Xenopus tropicalis: one gene and its partners. Each later gene encodes a partner of the first gene's protein in a complex. Links are inferred from orthologs where the notes say so. Each region holds a gene or a part of one and is shown in the gene's direction. Other genes may lie near its edges. The genes, in order: ezh2, jarid2, aebp2 and eed.

Region 1 (4,661 bases):
CAAAACCTTATTTTGTGAACAATTAATTTTCTTATCACAACGCAATAATTTGCGAAGACAAAAAAAGCAACAAAAAACTCCACCTCAGGCAGGCAGTTACATAGACAGAGCTCACTGTTGAGTTCAAGCACACTCAAAGGTTAAATCATTTAGAAAGAAATACAGTTAAATAGATTTATACTGAGTTTTTATAGCCTGCCCTAAAGCAATTACAGTTAAAGAAAAAAAAAAATGTATTCTCTTGTGAAAAAATAAACTTGCTTTGTCTTGTATTGCATGTACAGTGGCTTGCAAAAGTATTCGGCCCCCTTGAACTTTTCCACATTTTGTCACATTACAGCCACAAACATGAATCAATTTTATTGGAATTCCACGTGAAAGACCAATACAAAGTGGTGTACATGTGAGAAGTGGAACGAAAATCATACATGATTCCAAACATTTTTTACAAATAAATAACTGCAAAGTGGGGTGTGTGTAGTTATTCAGCCCCCTTTGGTCTGAGTGCAGTCAGTTGCCCATAGACATTGCCTGATGAGTGCTAATGACTAAATAGAGTGCACCTGTGTGTAATCTAATGTCAGTACAAATACAGCTGCTCTGTAACGGCCTCAGAGGTTGTCTAAGAGAATATTGGGAGCAACAACACCATGAAGTCCAAAGAACACACCAGACAGGTCAGGGATAAAGTTATTGAGAAATTTAAAGCAGGCTTAGGCTACAAAAAGATTTCCAAAGCCTTGAACATCCCACGGAGCACTGTTCAAGCGATCATTCAGAAATGGAAGGAGTATGGCACAACTGTAAACCTACCAAGACAAGGCCGTCCACCTAAACTCACAGGCCGAACAAGGAGAGCGCTGATCAGAAATGCAGCCAAGAGGCCCATGGTGACTCTGGACGAGCTGCAGAGATCTACAGCTCAGGTGGGGGAATCTGTCCATAGGACAACTATTAGTCGTGCACTGCACAAAGTTGGCCTTTATGGAAGAGTGGCAAGAAGAAAGCCATTGTTAACAGAAAACCATAAGAAGTCCCGTTTGCAGTTTGCCACAAGCCATGTGGGGGACACAGCAAACATGTGGAAGAAGGTGCTCTGGTCAGATGAGACCAAAATGGAACTTTTTGGCCAAAATGCAAAACACTATGTGTGGCGGAAAACTAACACTGCACATCACTCTGAACACACCATCCCCACTGTCAAATATGGTGGTGGCAGCATCATGCTCTGGGGGGGCTTCTCTTCAGCAGGGACAGGGAAGCTGGTCAGAGTTGATGGGAAGATGGATGGAGCCAAATACAGGGCAATCCTGGAAGAAAACCTCTTGGAGTCTGCAAAAGACTTGAGACTGGGGCGGAGGTTCACCTTCCAGCAGGACAACGACCCTAAACATAAAGCCAGGGCAACAATGGAATGGTTTAAAACAAAACATATCCATGTGTTAGAATGGCCCAGTCAAAGTCCAGATCTAAATCCAATCGAAAATCTGTGGCAAGTTCTGAAAACTGCTGTTCACAAACGCTGTCCATCTAATCTGACTGAGCTGGAGCTGTTTTGCAAAGAAGAATGGGTAAGGATTTCAGTCTCTAGATGTGCAAAGCTGGTAGAGACATACCCTAAAGACTGGCAGCTGTAATTGCAGCAAAAGGTGGTTCTACAAAGTATTGACTCAGAGGGCTGAATAATTACGCACACCCCACTTTGCAGTTATTTATTTGTAAAAAATGTTTGGAATCATGTATGATTTTCGTTCCACTTCTCACGTGTACATCACTCTGTATTGGTCTTTCACGTGGAATTCCAATAAAATTGATTCATGTTTGTGGCTGTTATGTGACAAAATGTGGAAAAGTTCAAGGGGGCCGAATACTTTTGCAAGCCACTGTATGTGTTTTTGGTTTTGGTTGTGATTGTGAAACCATATGCTGTCAAATTTGTATTGAAGGAAGGAGCACGGGAGTTTGCTGCAGCTTTGACAGCAGAACGAATAAAGACACCACCAAAGCGCCCTAGTGGTCGCCGAAGAGGTAGACTTCCCAACAACACCAGCAGACCAAGCACACCAACTGTAAATGTGTTAGAAGCCAAGGACACTGATAGTGACAGAGAAGCCGGCACTGAAACTGGAGGGGAAAGCAATGATAAGGAGGAAGAAGAGAAAAAAGATGAGACCTCAAGCTCCTCTGGTATGTATGTTCAACGGATATCCATTAGGTTTGTACTCTGGCTAAAAAATAGACAGATGTACAGCATTTTATAATAATACATGTAAATAATATGTAAGCAGATGGCAAACTCCCATGCACTGAGGCATCTGACATTGCCAGTGTTTTTTTTTTTTTAAAGATGGATGAACTGCAGTTTAAAGGACACCATTTTCATTTTCAAAGTTTGCACTACTGCATGTGTTGCTTTTTAGTAGTCTGGAGGTACAAATGAAATTCCAGCAAGCAAAAGTCTTGAAAGCACTGAGGCTAGTGTCACATGTTGTGTTAGAAAACTTGATCCACTGCCTTGCACAAGATCTTTAGAATGCACTGACAAGCACAGCATCTGCCTGCAATTGCATACAGAGGGATGAGTTCTGCACGAAAATGCGCCCATTCTCCATTTTCCCAAATCCACCATGTGTACTGTAGAAGTCCAGTGTGTTGCATTTTCACCAGCAGAAAAACCCGGTGGGTGGGAATAAATCAGGCATAAGCTATTAATCTCTCATTCTATCAATATCAATAGGACACTAAGACATTCTTTGCATTAAGCTACCAAGCTATGCCCTCCCCTTTAAGCCAAACAGGGATTGTTTGTCCATATATTGCAATATATTCAAGCTGGCCAACTACGTCAGTCATCCCCAGTCTGGCCAGTCCTACATTCACTTTCATCTGATTCATTAAGAATTTTAGTGCTTCAATATACATTTAACAAAGGGACAAAGTTTTACCTGCAACTTACTTGCTTTCAAGGTTAAAACCCCGAATGGTCCACATGGTTGGACATGAAAGAATGCTATCAAGAATCCATCTAAATATTTCAGATTTACATACTTCTATGTAAGAAACATATTTTTTGGGTCTGGTAAACAGTTGATATTCCAAAGCAGATGCTACATGCATGCTCAAAGGACGTATGTATAGCTGTGAGTGAGGAGTTCCATTCAGTGCCTCCCTTACCTGCTCTTGTTCTATTGTATACCTCTCAACAGAAGCAAACTCTCGGTGCCAGACACCAATAAAAATGAAGCCAAATATCGAGCCACCTGAAAATGTGGAATGGAGTGGTGCAGAGGCCTCCCTATTTAGAGTGCTAATTGGAACCTATTATGACAACTTCTGTGCAATTGCAAGGTTGATTGGTACCAAGACATGCCGGCAAGTAAGTTATTAGTAGCTCTTATTCATTCTACAATGATTTTTTAGTACAATATGTTACACTTTTGACTAAACTTTAGGATTATTATTATTATTATTAACATTTATTTATAAAGCGCCAACATATTCCGCAGCGCTGTAAGTGGGTTTCATACATTGGACATACAGAGTAACATATAAAGCAATCAATAACCAATACAAGAGGTGAAGAGAGCCCTGCCCAAAAGAGCTTACAATCTACAAGGATCAGTCTGTAATCGTCTTATAAGAAAACTGCATGCAGCTGTTGTGTTCCTTAAAATATCATATGCACCGATGGCTGATTTTCATGTGGTATTTGAAAGTCTGCTGTATTATCCAAAGCTAACAAGTTATTCATTACTCTATTAATATCTTCTGCAGGTCTATGAGTTTAGAGTAAAGGAATCCAGTATTATTGCTCCTGTTATTGCTGAGGATGTCGACACTCCTCCGAGAAAGAAAAAGAGGAAACACAGGTATGACTTACACTTCATCACATTTTCTTTGTCTGTTGTTGAGAAATGAACAACAGTTTCATAATATAGCTGTGTTAAACCACTCTAATGAAGATAGCCTAGACTATATACCAGATCTTGGGTTATTCCTGATAATAGCTCTTGTTATTTGCTCATTATGAATAATACCTTGCATGAATCATTGTGCTTCTCTGCCTAGAAGATGTATTTGAGCTAACTCTCAAAATAACTCTTCAAAATAACTAACTTCAATACAAATCCTGTCTCTCTAAATACAAGGATTTGTATTTGTGCCAGTGTCAGTTATTTTAAGAGTGAGTTCAAATAAAATCTTCATTGCATAGCAACACCCCCTTCTGCCCAGTCTTACTTTGTTTTGGCTGCTGCCATCCCTGGAGCTGCAGCTTGGTTGGGCAGTGCAAGAGGCCCCTACACACATGCGTTGCGGACCAGAAGGCCTCTGCCATACCTACTAGCAAATATAACTGCGCAGTCTGGTACAAGATTAGCAATATTCAAGCAGTTGCAGGGGTATGGAAGTCAAAATAAAATAAGTGACTGGGGTCAAGGGAGCCTGCTCTGCATAACCTAATGATCTTCATTACCAGTGAAATACATTGTTGTATAGAACTGATCATTTTTTTTATTTTCTACATGATTTCTTCTCTTATTTTGTATCTAATTGTATCCTAACAGACTTTGGGCAGCGCACTGCAGGAAAATACAGCTGAAAAAAGGTTTGACATTTATTTAGCTTTCATTTTCTGTTTTTCCCCAGTTACTCAAAGTTCA
Region 2 (4,661 bases), about 37 Mb from region 1:
TATGGGGCTAGCCATATTCTTAGTTTCCGCAGGACCCTCAGCCATGTGACTTGTTCTCTGATAAACTTTGGTCTCTCTTTACTGCTGCGCTGCAAGTTGAAGTGATATCATCCCCCTCCCTCCCCCCCCCCCAGCAGCCAATCAGAACAACAATGGAATGGTAATCAGATAACCGCTCCCTGACGCCTGCATTGCTAAAAATGCTCCCATGCCTCGCCTAGTGGTAGATATGAGAAAAGCACTCAAAGTAAAACACCCAAGTCTGGGCATTACATCTCCAGTTACATTGACAATAAAAGAGGTAATAGCTTATCTGAAAGTTGTTGCACTGTGATGGGTTGGCTCCTTCTGAAAGCTCAGACATAATGCACTGAGATGGCGCCTACTATTAATATAAAAAATACACACCAAAATACTATATTAAAAAAAATTAATTTGTTGGTTCAAGAATAGCATTTTAATAACATTTAAAATGGTACACTGAATTAGTTGCAAATAGCAAATAAACCATATATATATCATGACAGAATTCCTTTTATGTATGGATGTGCTTCAGTTCTGCAGTTTGCCATGTACAGGATTAAGGTTTAAAGGAGACATATAGGATAACTGAAAATCTGCCAATCCCATAGGCAATAATTTGTAATAAATGGTGCTAGTTTTACTCTTAAATGATTACTAACACCTTTAGGGCAAGGGCACAGGGGGTGTATTGTCACCAAGTATGCCAACAAATGCAAGACTTGGTGTCTGTTTTTATTACATCCCCCTGTAGAAATTGGTTATGGTTAAGTAACTTGTCAAAGTATTATTCACAATGAAAAAAGAACAGCCCAGAGTGGACTTTTTGTGTCCAGAAAGACTTGCTCTGTTGCACAGGTTGAGATGTGTACTCAACTTTGACCGCAAGGTTTCTCTTTCTGTCAAAGAACACAACCTGTGCAACACAGGAAGTCTCTCCTCCCTGACATATTGCAGCCCACTCTGCATTAATAATAAGTGTCAGATCTTTGGTGAGCAATAAAATAATTTTTTAAGCAACAATCTTAACTATCTGGGCTGTTTTGATATTAGGAGTCCAATTCTTCCTTTAGTTTAAAAATGTAATTTATTTTACTGCTTAAAACCAATTTATGTATGTATGTGTGTGTGTGTGTGTGTATGTGTATGTGTATATATGTATATATATATATATATATTGGAATAAATGCTGCCAATATCCAATAGTATCCATAGGTCTGTGTGTTAACATGTTTTGCAGTAAAAAAAATGTATCACATAACAGCAGTCCTATCCTAAACAAATGCACATTTTTACAGTTTTGAATTTGCCGCCCATAATAGATAAAGGGATGGCATAACCACAATTATTAAAATTTTGTCAGTATACATTTATATACATTGCGTAAATAATATAAACAAACAGTATATGTGTGTCTATATGTATTTATATCTAAATATGTAATCTGCCATGTGTTGCTTTCAAAAGGGGGCAAGATTTATCTTGACCTTATCACTTCTTGCTGTTCTTTGCTAAAGCAGATTACAAAGTTATAGCAAGTATAACAATTCATATGTCTTTGGGTCTGTTATGGTAAAGATTTGTTTTTGAATATTTCACAGTAAATTATTTTGTGTAAGTGTACAGACTTATCACTTCTGTGCTTCATCTGGGAATTCAGACTAGCCTGTTTGCTAAATGAATATGCATCATTAGTATAATACTGCAAGATGTTATTAATTGAATCTAATTATTTGTAATTTGCACGACAGCCACAATAATATAGCTAGAATTTGCTTTTAAATCATATTCTAGATTTGTTTTAAGGGGAGCTGCACACTGACAACTTTTTTTTTTATTACCAATTAAACCCAGGTTTCCAAGGTGAATGGAATAACCCGATTATCATCATTGGGTTCTAACGCAGTCGGTGCCAAAAAGACAAGAGAAGTGAGACCTACACCCTCTAAAACTGTGAAGTATACCGCAACGGTGACTAAGGGGACTGTCACATACACCAAAGCCAAGAAAGAACTGGATAAGGCAACCAAACAGAATCACAACAAACCCAGTTCATCTGTTCACCACACAATCTCAGGGACCACAGAAAGCAGCAATGCAAAAACTCGTAAACAGGTGCTATCTCTTTCTACATCTAAGCCCAACTGTGCCGCTGTTCTTAACTGTGTAAAGGTGAATGGCAAACTTAACAAAAAAACATGCAGTAGGGAGGAAGGGAGGCAACTAAGGGAGGGACTACGTAACTCAAAAAGGCGCCTGGAGGAGGCAAGCCTTCCTGCTAAGGCACAGCCTTTGCTAAAGAAAATTAAAGTATCCGCCTGCTTGCCAGAGGTCAGAAGCAAAAGGCTAGCAGCGGAGAAACAGGTGCTGAATGGACACTTAAAAAAAGAAGTGCCAGAGAAGATGCTGGAAAGAAATAGGCCGAAGCGGGCCTCAGCAGCCAGGAGCTCACCAGTTCCACAACCCCGTGGTAAGGCAGAAGATACTGGTTGTGAAAATCGCTCTACCTCGCACACTGATTCCCCACAAAAATCTCTGGACTCTGCAAAGACAGAGAAAAATTCTGGGAGGGCCAGGTGCACAGCCATGTGTGAGATCCCTGTCCTCCGACCCTCTGCCAAGGAGTTTCATGACCCCTTGATTTATATTGAATCCATCCGAGCCCGAGTGGAGAAGTATGGGATGTGCACCGTGATCCCACCTGCCGACTGGAGACCAGAGTGCAAGCTGAATGATGAGATGCGATTCGTTACACAGATTCAACACATCCACAAGCTTGGGCGACGTTGGGGTCCAAATGTACAGCGCCTGGCCTGCATTAAGAAGCACCTCAAATCTCAGGGCATCACCTTGGATGAACTCCCGCTCATAGGTAAGGGAATCACTCTGATGGACATGCATGTGTTGTTATTTTTCTTAAAGAGCTCTAATTTGATTTTTTGATATTTTTTGGCAGATGCTGCTTAAAGGGTCCATTTAAACTGTTATATTTTGTTTATTAGAAATGTAAAAAAACACTCCGTTTTACCCTCAGATGAATTGTAATGACATTTCATCATATGTATTATTTTATTGCAAATAATGACTGTTAAGTGTTTGGGCAGCAATAATTGGATACTGTTTGCATTGTTAGAAATATACCAAAATAGCAAAAACCAATGTAGCTGAATGATGCCAACATGTTAGAAGGTTGACACTTTAAAAAGAGAGAGAAGAAAAACACAAATTTTTCAACCATATTCAGTGCTTGAGGGAATGTGAGACATGCGCTATTAAACTTTTATTGATACGTAGCCATCTGAGAATGCTGCAGAAGCTTGAACTCTGATATCAGCTGTATTTTTGGGGGACTGAAAAAGTGTTTGTCGTATTTTTTTTTGTAGGCACCCTATACCCAGGGCACAGAGTGTGATGACTGGACAATAGTTTCTTTGCATCATCATTTTTTTAAATTAAAGAACAACTCTTTCTTTTTCACCTCTTCCAAAAATGTCCCTCCAAGCTGAAGTTTGTTGTGCTGATCTCACTTTCCTTCTGTTTTTTTCAACTTAAGTTTGTTGTTTGTGATAAATGGCCAACATAACAATTCATCCACAAATGTACAATGTAACACAAAGGTTACGTCATTTAATACTGTACGATGAACAAAGAATACAATTGTGTGTCAGCAGACACAAACACGCATCACTAAAGCTCTCGGAACTTATCTCACTAAATGTTGGATTTGCCCAACATGGTGTGTTTTATGTGATTGTGTTGTTCAGTAATTATTTCAACTATGTTGAAATATAATTTAAGCAGCAGTAAAGTTTTTCTTTTAATTCACTAATTCACTGCCCTGTTAACTTCACTGTATTTCCAAGATCAGACCCTTACCATAAGCAATCCAGTCCTTACAATTTAGAGATTTGAGGTTGAATTATGATTATCTAATACTGCTGTTTTAAAAGTAAAACACATTCTAGGTATTGACGGTGAAATGTCTCTTGCTGACACCAACATGCATATGTACTTTTATGTATGTATTGAGTACCTTTCAGGGTTGTCACAAGTAATAGCTCACTTAGTGAATTGAAATATTATTTAATTTACTAATATGCAACTAAACATTTCCCTGAAGAAATAATCAAAAAGAACATGGAAAGGAGGTCATGCAGGGAACTTGATTTAGGGAATGATAAAAACACTTCTGAAGATATAAAGAGTGGAAACCAATATCTTCAAAATGGTTTTTCAAAAGTAAGAACCAGGGATTTATTCCCTGGCTTAACACCCACTTGTGACAACCCTAAGTACATTTGTGAAGTTCCTGGAAGAAGACACAAATGTTTTAATAACTTGACAAACTGATCTCTCTCTGTTTCTTTGTGGCGGTATGCCTACTAGGCATTCAAGCATCACTCGTTCTGCAAGGCTCTGACCGAAGACAGATCCTCTGGATCCCTGCTCTGCTCTACTTTTTTAGGGATTAGCAGTTTTTAAGGCTTCATTTACACATCCCTACCATGCTGACACAGTGGCAGAATGGGGCTGTGTACTATGAGCCACATCTTGTAGGGCTTGGGCAAATAGAGAAGTTAAGCTATCCCTTCACCAAGCAGGTCTCTAGAGTGTGTCCTGGGCAACTTATCTTGATCTCT
Region 3 (5,436 bases), on another chromosome or scaffold:
TACCGGGAAATACACTCCCCCGTGCAAAGGAAGCAGAGACAGTCACACGGGTACCGGGAAATACACTTCCCCGTGCAAAGGAAGCAGAGACAGTCACACGGGTACCGGGAAATACACTTCCCCGTGCAAAGGAAGCAGAGACAGTCACACGGGTACCAGGAAATACACTTCCCCGTGCAAAGGAAGCAGAGACAGTCACACGGGTACCAGGAAATACACTCCCCCGTGCAAAGGAAGCAGAGACAGTCACACGGGTACCGGGAAATACACTCCCCCGTGCAAAGGAAGCAGAGACAGTCACACGGGTACCAGGAAATACACTCCCCCGTGCAAAGGAAGCAGAGACAGTCACACGGGTACCGGGAAATACACTCCCCCGTGCACAGGAAGCAGAGACAGTCACACAGGTACCGGGAAATACACTCCCCCGTGCAAAGGAAGTAGAGACAGTCACACGGGTACCGGGAAATACACTCCCCCGTGCACAGGAAGCAGAGACAGTCACACGGGTACCGGGAAATACACTCCCCCGTGCAAAGGAAGCAGAGACAGTCACATGGGTACCGGGAAATACACTCCCCCGTGCAAAGGAAGCAGAGACAGTCACATGGGTACCGGGAAATACACTCCCCGTGCAAAGGAAGCAGAGACAGTAAACACGGGTACCGGGAAATACACTCCCCCCGTGCAAAGGAAGCAGAGACAGTCACACGGGTACCGGGAAATACACTCCCCCCGTGCAAAGGAAGCAGAGACAGTCACACGGGTACCGGGAAATACACTCCCCCCGTGCAAAGGAAGCAGAGACAGTCACACGGGTACCGGGAAATACACTCCCCCGTGCAAAGGAAGCAGAGACAGTCACATGGGTACCGGGAAATACACTCCCCCGTGCAAAGGAAGCAGAGACAGTCACATGGGTACCGGGAAATACACTCCCCCGTGCAAAGGAAGCAGAGACAGTCACATGGGTACCGGGAAATACACTCCCCCGTGCAAAGGAAGCAGAGACAGTCACACGGGTACCGGGAAATACACTCCCCCGTGCACAGGAAGCAGAGACAGTCACACGGGTACCAGGAAATACACTCCCCCCGTGCAAAGGAAGCAGAGACAGTCACATGGGTACCAGGAAATACACTCCCCCGTGCAAAGGAAGCAGAGACAGTCACATGGGTACCGGGAAATACACTCCCCCGTGCAAAGGAAGCAGAGACAGTCACACGGGTACCAGGAAATACACTCCCCCGTGCAAAGGAAGCAGAGACAGTCACATGGGTACCAGGAAATACACTCCCCCGTGCAAAGGAAGCAGAGACAGTCACACGGGTACCAGGAAATACACTCCCCCGTGCAAAGGAAGCAGAGACAGTCACACGGGTACCAGGAAATACACTCCCCCGTGCAAAGGAAGCAGAGACAGTCACATGGGTACCAGGAAATACACTCCCCCGTGCAAAGGAAGCAGAGACAGTCACACGGGTACCAGGAAATACACTCCCCCGTGCAAAGGAAGCAGAGACAGTCACATGGGTACCGGGAAATACACTCCCCCGTGCAAAGGAAGTAGAGACAGTCACATGGGTACCAGGAAATACACTCCCCCATGCAAAGGAAGCAGAGACAGTCACATGGGTACCGGGAAATACACTCCCCCGTGCAAAGGAAGCAGAGAGAGTCACATGGGTACCGGGAAATACACTCCCCCGTGCAAAGGAAGCAGAGACAGTCACATGGGTACCAGGAAATACACTCCCCCGTGCAAAGGAAGCAGAGACAGTCACACGGGTACCGGGAAATACACTCCCCCGTGCAAAGGAAGCAGAGAGAGTCACATGGGTACCGGGAAATACACTCCCCCGTCTCTACTTCCCTTGCACAGGGGAATCTATTCCCTAGAACTGGTGTGAATATCTCCACTTCCTGTCTGGTAGAGAAACGGCAGCCCAGGTTTGCTTTATGGCAGGTCAGAGCTTTGTTCTTAAACGGAAACAATCAGTTACCCTTTATGGAATAGGATGAATTACAGCACTGCTGGGAGAGGAGGCCAGAGCCTGATTGAGAAAGGAGAGCGGAGCAGTGTATGGAATGTAAGTCCCCACTAGGGGGCAGTATGGGAAGATATAACAGTAGGAGGAGCCTAAGAGCCTCTCGTCCAATAACTAGAAGCCTTTCCTCTCCCGGCCCAGTAAGAGTTCCGCTTCTCACTCCGCTTTGGCCCTCTACGGGCGCCGTAACGCATGCTGCCGCAGTCTCCGCCCCAAGCCCCGCCCCGCCGCTAAGGGAAGCTCCGAGCTTAGTGACAAGATGGCCGCCGCCTCCTCTTGCTCCGAGCCCTCCGCGCCCCCCGCCGGCTCCTCCAGCCCCCCTCCCGCCCAGCCTGCCGTGCCCCCGCCCGGGGAAGAGGAGGACGAGGCGGACGATGAGAGCAGCAGGAGCTCCGGGTCGGAGCGTCCCGACAGCCCAGCGGGACAGGAGAGTCAGGGCCCCGGGGGGGGAACCGGCAGCTCCGGAGCGGGGAGCCTGGCTGTGTCCGAGGGGGAACCGCTCAGCCGCATGGACTCGGAGGACAGGTCAGTGCCCCAGGGGCAATTGGATTGGGGCAGGTACTTGGGGGCAATTGTGGTGGCAGCAGGGAGAATGGGGGCGGGGTTAGTAGGGTAGGGGGCGGGGTTAGTAGGGTAGGCTGGGCTCTGGGGGCAGATACAGTTGGGTCATTGGACTGAGGGGGAATAGAAATGAGGGGCAGTTACATTATGGGAGGGGTAGTTAGAGGGCAGGATGGGGCAGTATTCATTACCTGGGTAGGAATAGATAACATGGAGCTGGGGCAGTTACATTATGGGAGGGGTAGTTAGAGGGCAGGATGGGGCAGTATTCATTACCTGGGTAGGAATAGATAACATGGAGCTGGGGCAGTTACACAGGGGGGGGTTAGTACTGAGGCACTATATGTTCTGCCCCTAGGGGGCTGCACTCACATTCCCTGGGGTTGGATAGGGCAGGGGAGGATGATGGGAAGTGTAGTCCTGTCACATGTCACGGTGGGGGCGGGGCAGTAAGTGGGGCAGGTTGTACTTGAGCAAATGAGAATCCGATCTATTGAGCCCTCTGTTTCCACCTCTGGGGCACTTACCAGATCTGCCCCCCCCAGTGTTAGCGATTGGTCGGTACCCCACTGGCCCTTTGGCCCTCACAGTGACCGGGGCCCCGCTGGTTCCTTCTGTCCCCTCAGTCTTATGGGGAAAGGTTCAGTCCTTGCCTTGTCCAGCCGCCCGGAACTACCCCACCCGGGGGGATATATCACTCTCTGTAGCAACAGCCCCTGTGAGTAAGTAGTGCACTCATGTATAGGGGCAACATTCATTAGCAATTGCCTCATTAGCCTGAGGGGCAATTGTACTCTATGTGCCCCTCTCACCTCTGTCTGCCCCGACTGTCAGGGTCCCCAATTCTCTGTACTTCCTGCTCCTGGGCTGCTCTCTTTCCCATGGTCAGGCAGGAACCTCCCCCTGGGTAAGTGAATCCAATCTCCCCCCAGTACTTACCCAGGTACAGAGCTCTGATTCTCTGTACTTCCTGCTCCTGGGCTGCTCTCTTTCCCATGGTCAGGCAGGAACCTCCCCCTGGGTAAGTGAATCCAATCTCCCCCCAGTACTTACCCAGGTACAGAGCTCTGATTCTCTGTACTTCCTGCTCCTGGGCTGCTCTCTTTCCCATGGTCAGGCAGGAACCTCCCCCTGGGTAAGTGAATCCTGTTGGGGGGCAGTATAGCCCAGTAACCCCTGCTTGTTGCCCCACAGTATCAGCAGTACCCTGATGGATGTGGACAGTGTGGTCTCCAGTGGGCGCTCGACTCCCGCCATGATGAACGGCCAAAGCATGATCAGCACGTCGGCCAATAAGAGCCTCTCTTACAGCTGCTGCTGGGACCAATGTCAGACCACCTTCTCCTGCAGCCCCGACCTGGCCGACCACATTCGCTCTTTCCACGTGGATGGGCAGCACGGGGGGGTGAGTGCTCATTGGTTCTCTGCAACGTGGGGCGGGGCATTCCCTCTCTGTATATTTGTATTTATACATATGGGTAGGGGGTGCCATAGTGTTTCCCTTAGACAGTACAGTATGGGGGTACAGCTTATTGTGTGCCCAGAGCATTCCTTCTCTGTATATTTGTATTTATACATATGGGTAGGGGGTGCCATAGTGTTTCCCTTAGACAGTACAGTATGGGGGTGGGGCTTATTGTGTGCCCAGAACATTCCCTCTCTGTATATTTGTATTTATACATATGGGTAGGGGGTGCCATAGTGTTTCCCTTAGACAGTACAGTATGGGGGTACAGCTTATTGTGTGCCCAGAACATTCCCTCTCTGTATATTTGTATTTATACATATGGGTAGGGGGTGCCATAGTGTTTCCCTTAGACAGTACAGTATGGGGGTGGGGCTTATTGTGTGCCCAGAACATTCCCTCTCTGTATATTTGTATTTATACATATGGGTAGGGGGTGCCATAGTGTTTCCCTTAGACAGTACAGTATGGGGGTACAGCTTATTGTGTGCCCAGAACATTCCCTCTCTGTATATTTGTATTTATACATATGGGTAGGTGGTGCCATAGTGTTTCCCTTAGACAGTACAGTATGGGGGTACAGCTTATTGTGTGCCCAGAACATTCCCTCTCTGTATATTTGTATTTATACATATGGGTAGGGGTGCCATAGTGTTTTCCCTTAGACAGTACAGTATGGGGGTACAGCTTATTGTGTGCCCAGAACATTCCTTCTCTGTATATTTGTATTTATACATATGGGTAGGGGGTGCCATAGTGTTTCCCTTAGACAGTACAGTATGGGGGTACAGCTTATTGTGTGCCCAGAACATTCCCTCTCTGTATATTTGTATTTATACATATGGGTAGGGGGTGCCATAGTGTTTCCCTTAGACAGTACAGTATGGGGGTACAGCTTATTGTGTGCCCAGAGCATTCCCTCTCTGTATATTTGTATTTATACATATGGGTAGGGGGTGCCATAGTGTTTCCCTTAGACAGTACAGTATGGGGGTACAGCTTATTGTGTGCCCAGAACATTCCTTCCCTGTATATTTGTATTTATACATATGGGTAGGGGGTGCCATAGTGTTTCCCTTAGACAGTACAGTATGGGGGTACAGCTTATTGTGTGCCCAGAACATTCCTTCTCTGTATATTTGTATTTATACATATGGGTAGGGGGTGCCATAGTGTTTCCCTTAGACAGTACAGTATGGGGGTACAGCTTATTGTGTGCCCAGAACATTCCTTCTCTGTATATTTGTATTTATACATATGGGAGGGAGGTGCCATAGTGTTTCCCTTAGACAGTACAGTATGGGGGTACAGCTTATTGTGTGCCCAGAACATTCCCTCTCTGTATATTTGTATTTATACATA
Region 4 (4,661 bases), on another chromosome or scaffold:
AGCAGTTACCCTGTATTGCACTCCTGGGTAAAGGATCGCCAAGCTGCACTGTTATTTGTACTCCAGTACCATTTTAGTTTTTTTCCCCTTTATCATGTTTTGTAAAGACCACGGGAGCACTTACCGGACCATCAGTGTGTGCTCAACGTACAGCCGAGACCCAGACGGCGAAGTAAACTGCAAAACAAAACTTTATACGGAGCAACGCCAACACTGTTGTTTTCATAAAAATCTTTCTTTATCCAATCTTTTTTAAAAAAGCATGTTGTGCTTATACAGAAAAAGACCATACGCTTGACGCGTTTCGTGGTATCACATCACTTTCTCAAAAGCTGCAGACATTGTTTTGCCCTTTATCATGTTTGCCCTAAATCTAAATGCTGCAGAGTATGTTGGAAATGTATAAATGAATGATGACGATGATAACTAATAAATGGAGACAAAGGGTGAGGCTGTAGGTGCAGAGCCTGTGAGCTTTCTCTCTCTCAGTGGGACAGGATGTAGGGGCTGCCTGGGGGATGGGTGCTAGAATCATTAGTGTGTACTCTCGCTAATTACTGCCAGCTAATGAGTAGGCACAGCCAGGCATGTTATACACTGAGCAGGCACACTAATAGCTAATTATATAGAATTACTGATTACCTTGCTGCATATAGAGTTCATGATGTGCTTATGCTATACAGTTAGCAGTCTATGGTCTGGCCATAGGGCACCTAGATTTTTAAAGTGGAAGTTCCCCTGAATTTACATATGTTGTAGATAGAAATAGACTTAAACTTATTTTATAATGCTAGGGTTTCTTTATTCCAGCATGGACTTTAAAATGCTGTCTGTTAGGGTCAGTCAGGGAGTGGTAGAATAGAGTATCGTAAGTTTCAAATGAAACTTAATTTTAAGAGGCCTTCACTTTAATGAAAGCACTTTCTTGGGCAGTGGGATGGCTCAGTGGTTGTAGCATGGGGTTTATTCTGACTGGGGCTCAACGATTTTGTACTTGTTACAGGTATGGGATCCATTATCCAGAAAGCTCTGAATTATAGGAAGGCAATCATCCTGAGACTCCATTTTAATAAAATAATTCAATTTCTCTGTAATAATAAAACAGTACCTGTACTTGATCCCAACTAAGATATAATTACCCCTTATTGGGGCAGAACAGCCCTATTGGGTTTATTTAATGGTTAAATGATTCCCTTTTCTCTGTAATAATAAAACAGTACCTGTACTTGATCCCAACTAAGATATAATTACCCCTTATTGGGGGCAGAACAGCCCTATTGGGTTTATTTAATGGTTAAATGATTCCCTTTTCTCTGTAATAATAAAACAGTACCTGTACTTGATCCCAACTAAGATATAATTACCCCTTATTGGGGCAGAACAGCCCTATTGGGTTTATTTAATGGTTAAATGATTCCCTTTTCTCTGTAATAATAAAACAGTACCTGTACTTGATCCCAACTAAGATATTATTACCCCTTATTGGGGGCAGAACAGTCCTATTGGGTTTATTTAATGGTTAAATGATTCCCTTTTCTCTGTAATAATAAAACAGTACCTGTACTTGATCCCAACTAAGATATAATTACCCCTTATTGGGGGCAGAACAGCCCTATTGGGTTTATTTCATGGTTAAATGATTCCCTTTTCTCTGTAATAATAAAACAGTACCTGTACTTGATCCCAACTAAGATATAATTACCCCTTATTGGGGGCAGAACAGCCCTATTGGGTTTATTTAATGGTTAAATGATTCCCTTTTCTCTGTAATAATAAAACAGTACCTGTACTTGATCCCAACTAAGATATAATTACCCCTTATTGGGGCAGAACAGCCCTATTGGGTTTATTTAATGGTTAAATGATTCCCTTTTCTCTGTAATAATAAAACAGTACCTGTACTTGATCCCAACTAAGATATAATTACCCCTTATTGGGGGCAGAACAGCCCTATTGGGTTTATTTAATGGTTAAATGATTCCCTTTTCTCTGTAATAATAAAACAGTACCTGTACTTGATCCCAACTAAGATATAATTACCCCTTATTGGGGCAGAACAGCCCTATTGGGTTTATTTAATGGTTAAATGATTCCCTTTTCTCTGTAATAATAAAACAGTACCTGTACTTGATCCCAACTAAGATATTATTACCCCTTATTGGGGGCAGAACAGTCCTATTGGGTTTATTTAATGGTTAAATGATTCCCTTTTCTCTGTAATAATAAAACAGTACCTGTACTTGATCCCAACTAAGATATAATTACCCCTTATTGGGGGCAGAACAGCCCTATTGGGTTTATTTCATGGTTAAATGATTCCCTTTTCTCTGTAATAATAAAACAGTACCTGTACTTGATCCCAACTAAGATATAATTACCCCTTATTGGGGGCAGAACAGCCCTATTGGGTTTCCTCCCATGTAGCAGATATACACTCAGGTTTATAAACTTTTGATTAGTTCAACCCTAGTGCTGGAGGCATGTGATCCGAATTTCAAAGTTGCTGTAGAGGCCCTCTGAGACAATTTGCTACTGGTTTATTTGTATTTTTAAAACTAACCTTTTGCTCCACATCTCTTCAGTTCAAATTATCTGCATGCTAGAGTCATATATAATCATTACATTACTCCAGACTTAATGTTGCTAAAAATGATGTAAACATGAAATAAACCCAATAGGGCTGTTCTGCCCCCAATAAGGGGTAATTATATCTTAGTTGGGATCAAGTACAGGTACTGTTTTATTATTACAGAGAAAAGGGAATCATTTAAAGATTAAATAAACCCAATAGGGCTGTTTTGCCCCCAATAAGGGGTAATTATATCTTAGTTGGGATCAAGTACAGGTACTGTTTTATTATTACAGAGAAAATGCAAATCATTTTTAAAAAATGTAAATTATTTCATTCAAATGGAGTCTATGGAAATGGCAGTCCCATAATTCTGAGCTTTTTTTTTTCTTTGAAATATTTAGGACGATACTGTCAGCATAGAGAGCGGTACAAACACAGAGCGCCCAGACACCCCGACAAATGCAGCAAATGCCCCCGGCAGAAAGGGCTGGGGCAAAGGAAAATGGAAGTCAAAGAAATGCAAATACTCCTTCAAGTGTGTAAATAGCCTCAAGGTGAGTGCGAGATTGGTGCCACTGGGAAAGGATAATCGGCTGGATCAGTTTGGAGAGATTGGTAGCAGAGGTCTATCGTGGGTACCAAAAAACACCAAAAAAATGAGTGTTTTAAAGTAATTAAGATATAATGTACTGGTAAAACTGGTGTGTTTGCTACAGAAATGCTGCTATACTTATATAAATACCCCGCTGTGTAGCCCCGGGGGCAGCCATTCCTGCACTGGTACAGCTGGGGTGTTTGCTACAGAAACCCTACTATAGTTTATATAAATACCCCGCTGTGTAGCCCCGGGGGCAGCCGTTCCTGCACTGGTACAGCTGGGGTGTTTGCTACAGAAACCCTACTATAGTTTATATAAATACCCTGCTGTGTAGCCCCGGGGGCAGCCATTCCTGCACTGGTACAGCTGGGGTGTTTGCTACAGAAACCCTACTATAGTTTATATAAATACCCTGCTGTGTAGCCCCGGGGGCAGCCGTTCCTGCACTGGTACAGCTGGGGTGTTTGCTACAGAAACCCTACTATAGTTTATATAAATACCCTGCTGTGTAGCCCCGGGGGCAGCCATTCCTGCACTGGTACAGCTGGGGTGTTTGCTACAGAAACCCTACTATAGTTTATATAAATACCCTGCTGTGTAGCCCCGGGGGCAGCCATTCCTGCACTGGTACAGCTGGGGTGTTTGCTACAGAAACCCTACTATAGTTTATATAAATACCCTGCTGTGTAGCCCCGGGGGCAGCCGTTCCTGCACTGGTACAGCTGGGGTGTTTGCTACAGAAACCCTACTATAGTTTATATAAATACCCCGCTGTGTAGCCCCGGGGGCAGCCATTCCTGCACTGGTACAGCTGGGGTGTTTGCTACAGAAACCCTACTATAGTTTATATAAATACCCCGCTATGTAGCCCCGGGGGCAGCCATTCCTGCACTGGTACAGCTGGGGTGTTTGCTACAGAAACCCTACTATAGTTTATATAAATACCCCGCTGTGTAGCCCCGGGGGCAGCCATTCCTGCACTGGTACAGCTGGGGTGTTTGCTACAGAAACCCTACTATAGTTTATATAAATACCCCGCTGTGTAGCCCCGGGGGCAGCCATTCCTGCACTGGTACAGCTGGGGTGTTTGCTACAGAAACCCTACTATAGTTTATATAAATACCCCGCTGTGTAGCCCCGGGGGCAGCCATTCCTGCACTGGTACAGCTGGGGTGTTTGCTACAGAAACCCTACTATAGTTTATATAAATACCCCGCTGTGTAGCCCCGGGGGCAGCCATTCCTGCACTGGTACAGCTGGGGTGTTTGCTACAGAAACCCTACTATAGTTTATATAAATACCCCGCTGTGTAGCCCCGGGGGCAGCCATTCCTGCACTGGTACAGCTGGGGTGTTTGCTACAGAAACCCTACTATAGTTTATATAAATACCCCGCTGTGTAGCTCCGGGGGCAGCCATTCGTGCTGGAAAATAGGAGAAAAGGCACAGGTTACATAGCAGATAACTGATAAGCTCTCTAACCTGTGCCTTC

Evidence for each region.
Region 2: the proteins of ezh2 (region 1) and jarid2 are in contact, whole or in part, in a cryo-EM structure (PDB 8VNZ), measured with the Homo sapiens proteins. The link is inferred for Xenopus tropicalis from reciprocal best matches to the Homo sapiens genes EZH2 and JARID2. Residues at the interface, in NP_001190176.1 of Homo sapiens: Arg78, Ile131, Pro132, Tyr133, Asp136, Ile146, Lys156, Val157, Asp160, Arg161; in NP_004964.2 of Homo sapiens: Arg108, Pro109, Arg110, Leu111, Ala113, Gln114, Arg115, Lys116, Thr154.
Region 3: the proteins of ezh2 (region 1) and aebp2 are in contact, whole or in part, in a cryo-EM structure (PDB 8VMI), measured with the Homo sapiens proteins. The link is inferred for Xenopus tropicalis from reciprocal best matches to the Homo sapiens genes EZH2 and AEBP2. Residues at the interface, in NP_001190176.1 of Homo sapiens: Ser76, Leu77, Arg78, Gly79, Thr80, Thr100, Asn102, Ala103, Val104, Ala105, Ser619, Asp620, Val621, Ala622, Ile739, Glu742, Met743, Glu744, Ile745, Pro746; in NP_001107648.1 of Homo sapiens: Lys382, Leu383, Lys384, Asn385, Arg387, Arg388, Ser390, Leu391, Pro392, His395, Asp399, Ala400, Gln401, Asp404, Ala405, Arg407, His408, Ile411, Cys412, Leu415.
Region 4: the proteins of ezh2 (region 1) and eed are in contact, whole or in part, in a cryo-EM structure (PDB 8VMI), measured with the Homo sapiens proteins. The link is inferred for Xenopus tropicalis from reciprocal best matches to the Homo sapiens genes EZH2 and EED. Residues at the interface, in NP_001190176.1 of Homo sapiens: Arg34, Glu37, Val38, Lys39, Met41, Phe42, Ser43, Asn45, Arg46, Ile49, Arg52, Thr53, Ile55, Leu56, Asn57, Glu59, Trp60, Lys61, Arg63, Arg64, Ile65, Gln66, Pro67, Val68, His69, Ile70, Leu71, Glu82, Cys83, Ser84; in NP_003788.2 of Homo sapiens: Val85, Asn86, Ser87, Leu88, Lys89, Glu90, Asp91, Trp103, His104, Ser105, Lys106, Glu107, Asp109, Pro110, Val112, Arg120, Thr122, Leu123, Tyr124, Glu125, Gln129, Gly130, Glu131, Ile132, Arg133, Leu134, Leu135, Gln136, Ser137, Tyr138.

Annotation. Positions count from the first base shown.
Region 1 is NC_030682.2:55,158,788-55,163,448, forward strand, and holds part of ezh2 (histone-lysine N-methyltransferase EZH2), read left to right. Parts: intron 1-1,946; coding exon 1,947-2,187; intron 2,188-3,206; coding exon 3,207-3,376; intron 3,377-3,774; coding exon 3,775-3,869; intron 3,870-4,565; coding exon 4,566-4,606; intron 4,607-4,661. UniProt on the Homo sapiens protein: Polycomb group (PcG) protein. Catalytic subunit of the PRC2/EED-EZH2 complex, which methylates 'Lys-9' (H3K9me) and 'Lys-27' (H3K27me) of histone H3, leading to transcriptional repression of the affected target gene.
Region 2 is NC_030682.2:92,469,328-92,473,988, forward strand, and holds part of jarid2 (protein Jumonji), read left to right. Parts: intron 1-1,875; coding exon 1,876-2,893; intron 2,894-4,661.
Region 3 is NC_030679.2:754,547-759,982, forward strand, and holds the start of aebp2 (zinc finger protein AEBP2), read left to right. Parts: upstream 1-2,176; 5' UTR 2,177-2,307; coding exon 2,308-2,573; intron 2,574-3,803; coding exon 3,804-4,014; intron 4,015-5,436. UniProt on the Homo sapiens protein: Acts as an accessory subunit for the core Polycomb repressive complex 2 (PRC2), which mediates histone H3K27 (H3K27me3) trimethylation on chromatin leading to transcriptional repression of the affected target gene.
Region 4 is NC_030678.2:168,819,517-168,824,177, reverse strand, and holds part of eed (polycomb protein eed), read left to right. Parts: intron 1-2,973; coding exon 2,974-3,126; intron 3,127-4,661. UniProt on the Homo sapiens protein: Polycomb group (PcG) protein. Component of the PRC2/EED-EZH2 complex, which methylates 'Lys-9' and 'Lys-27' of histone H3, leading to transcriptional repression of the affected target gene.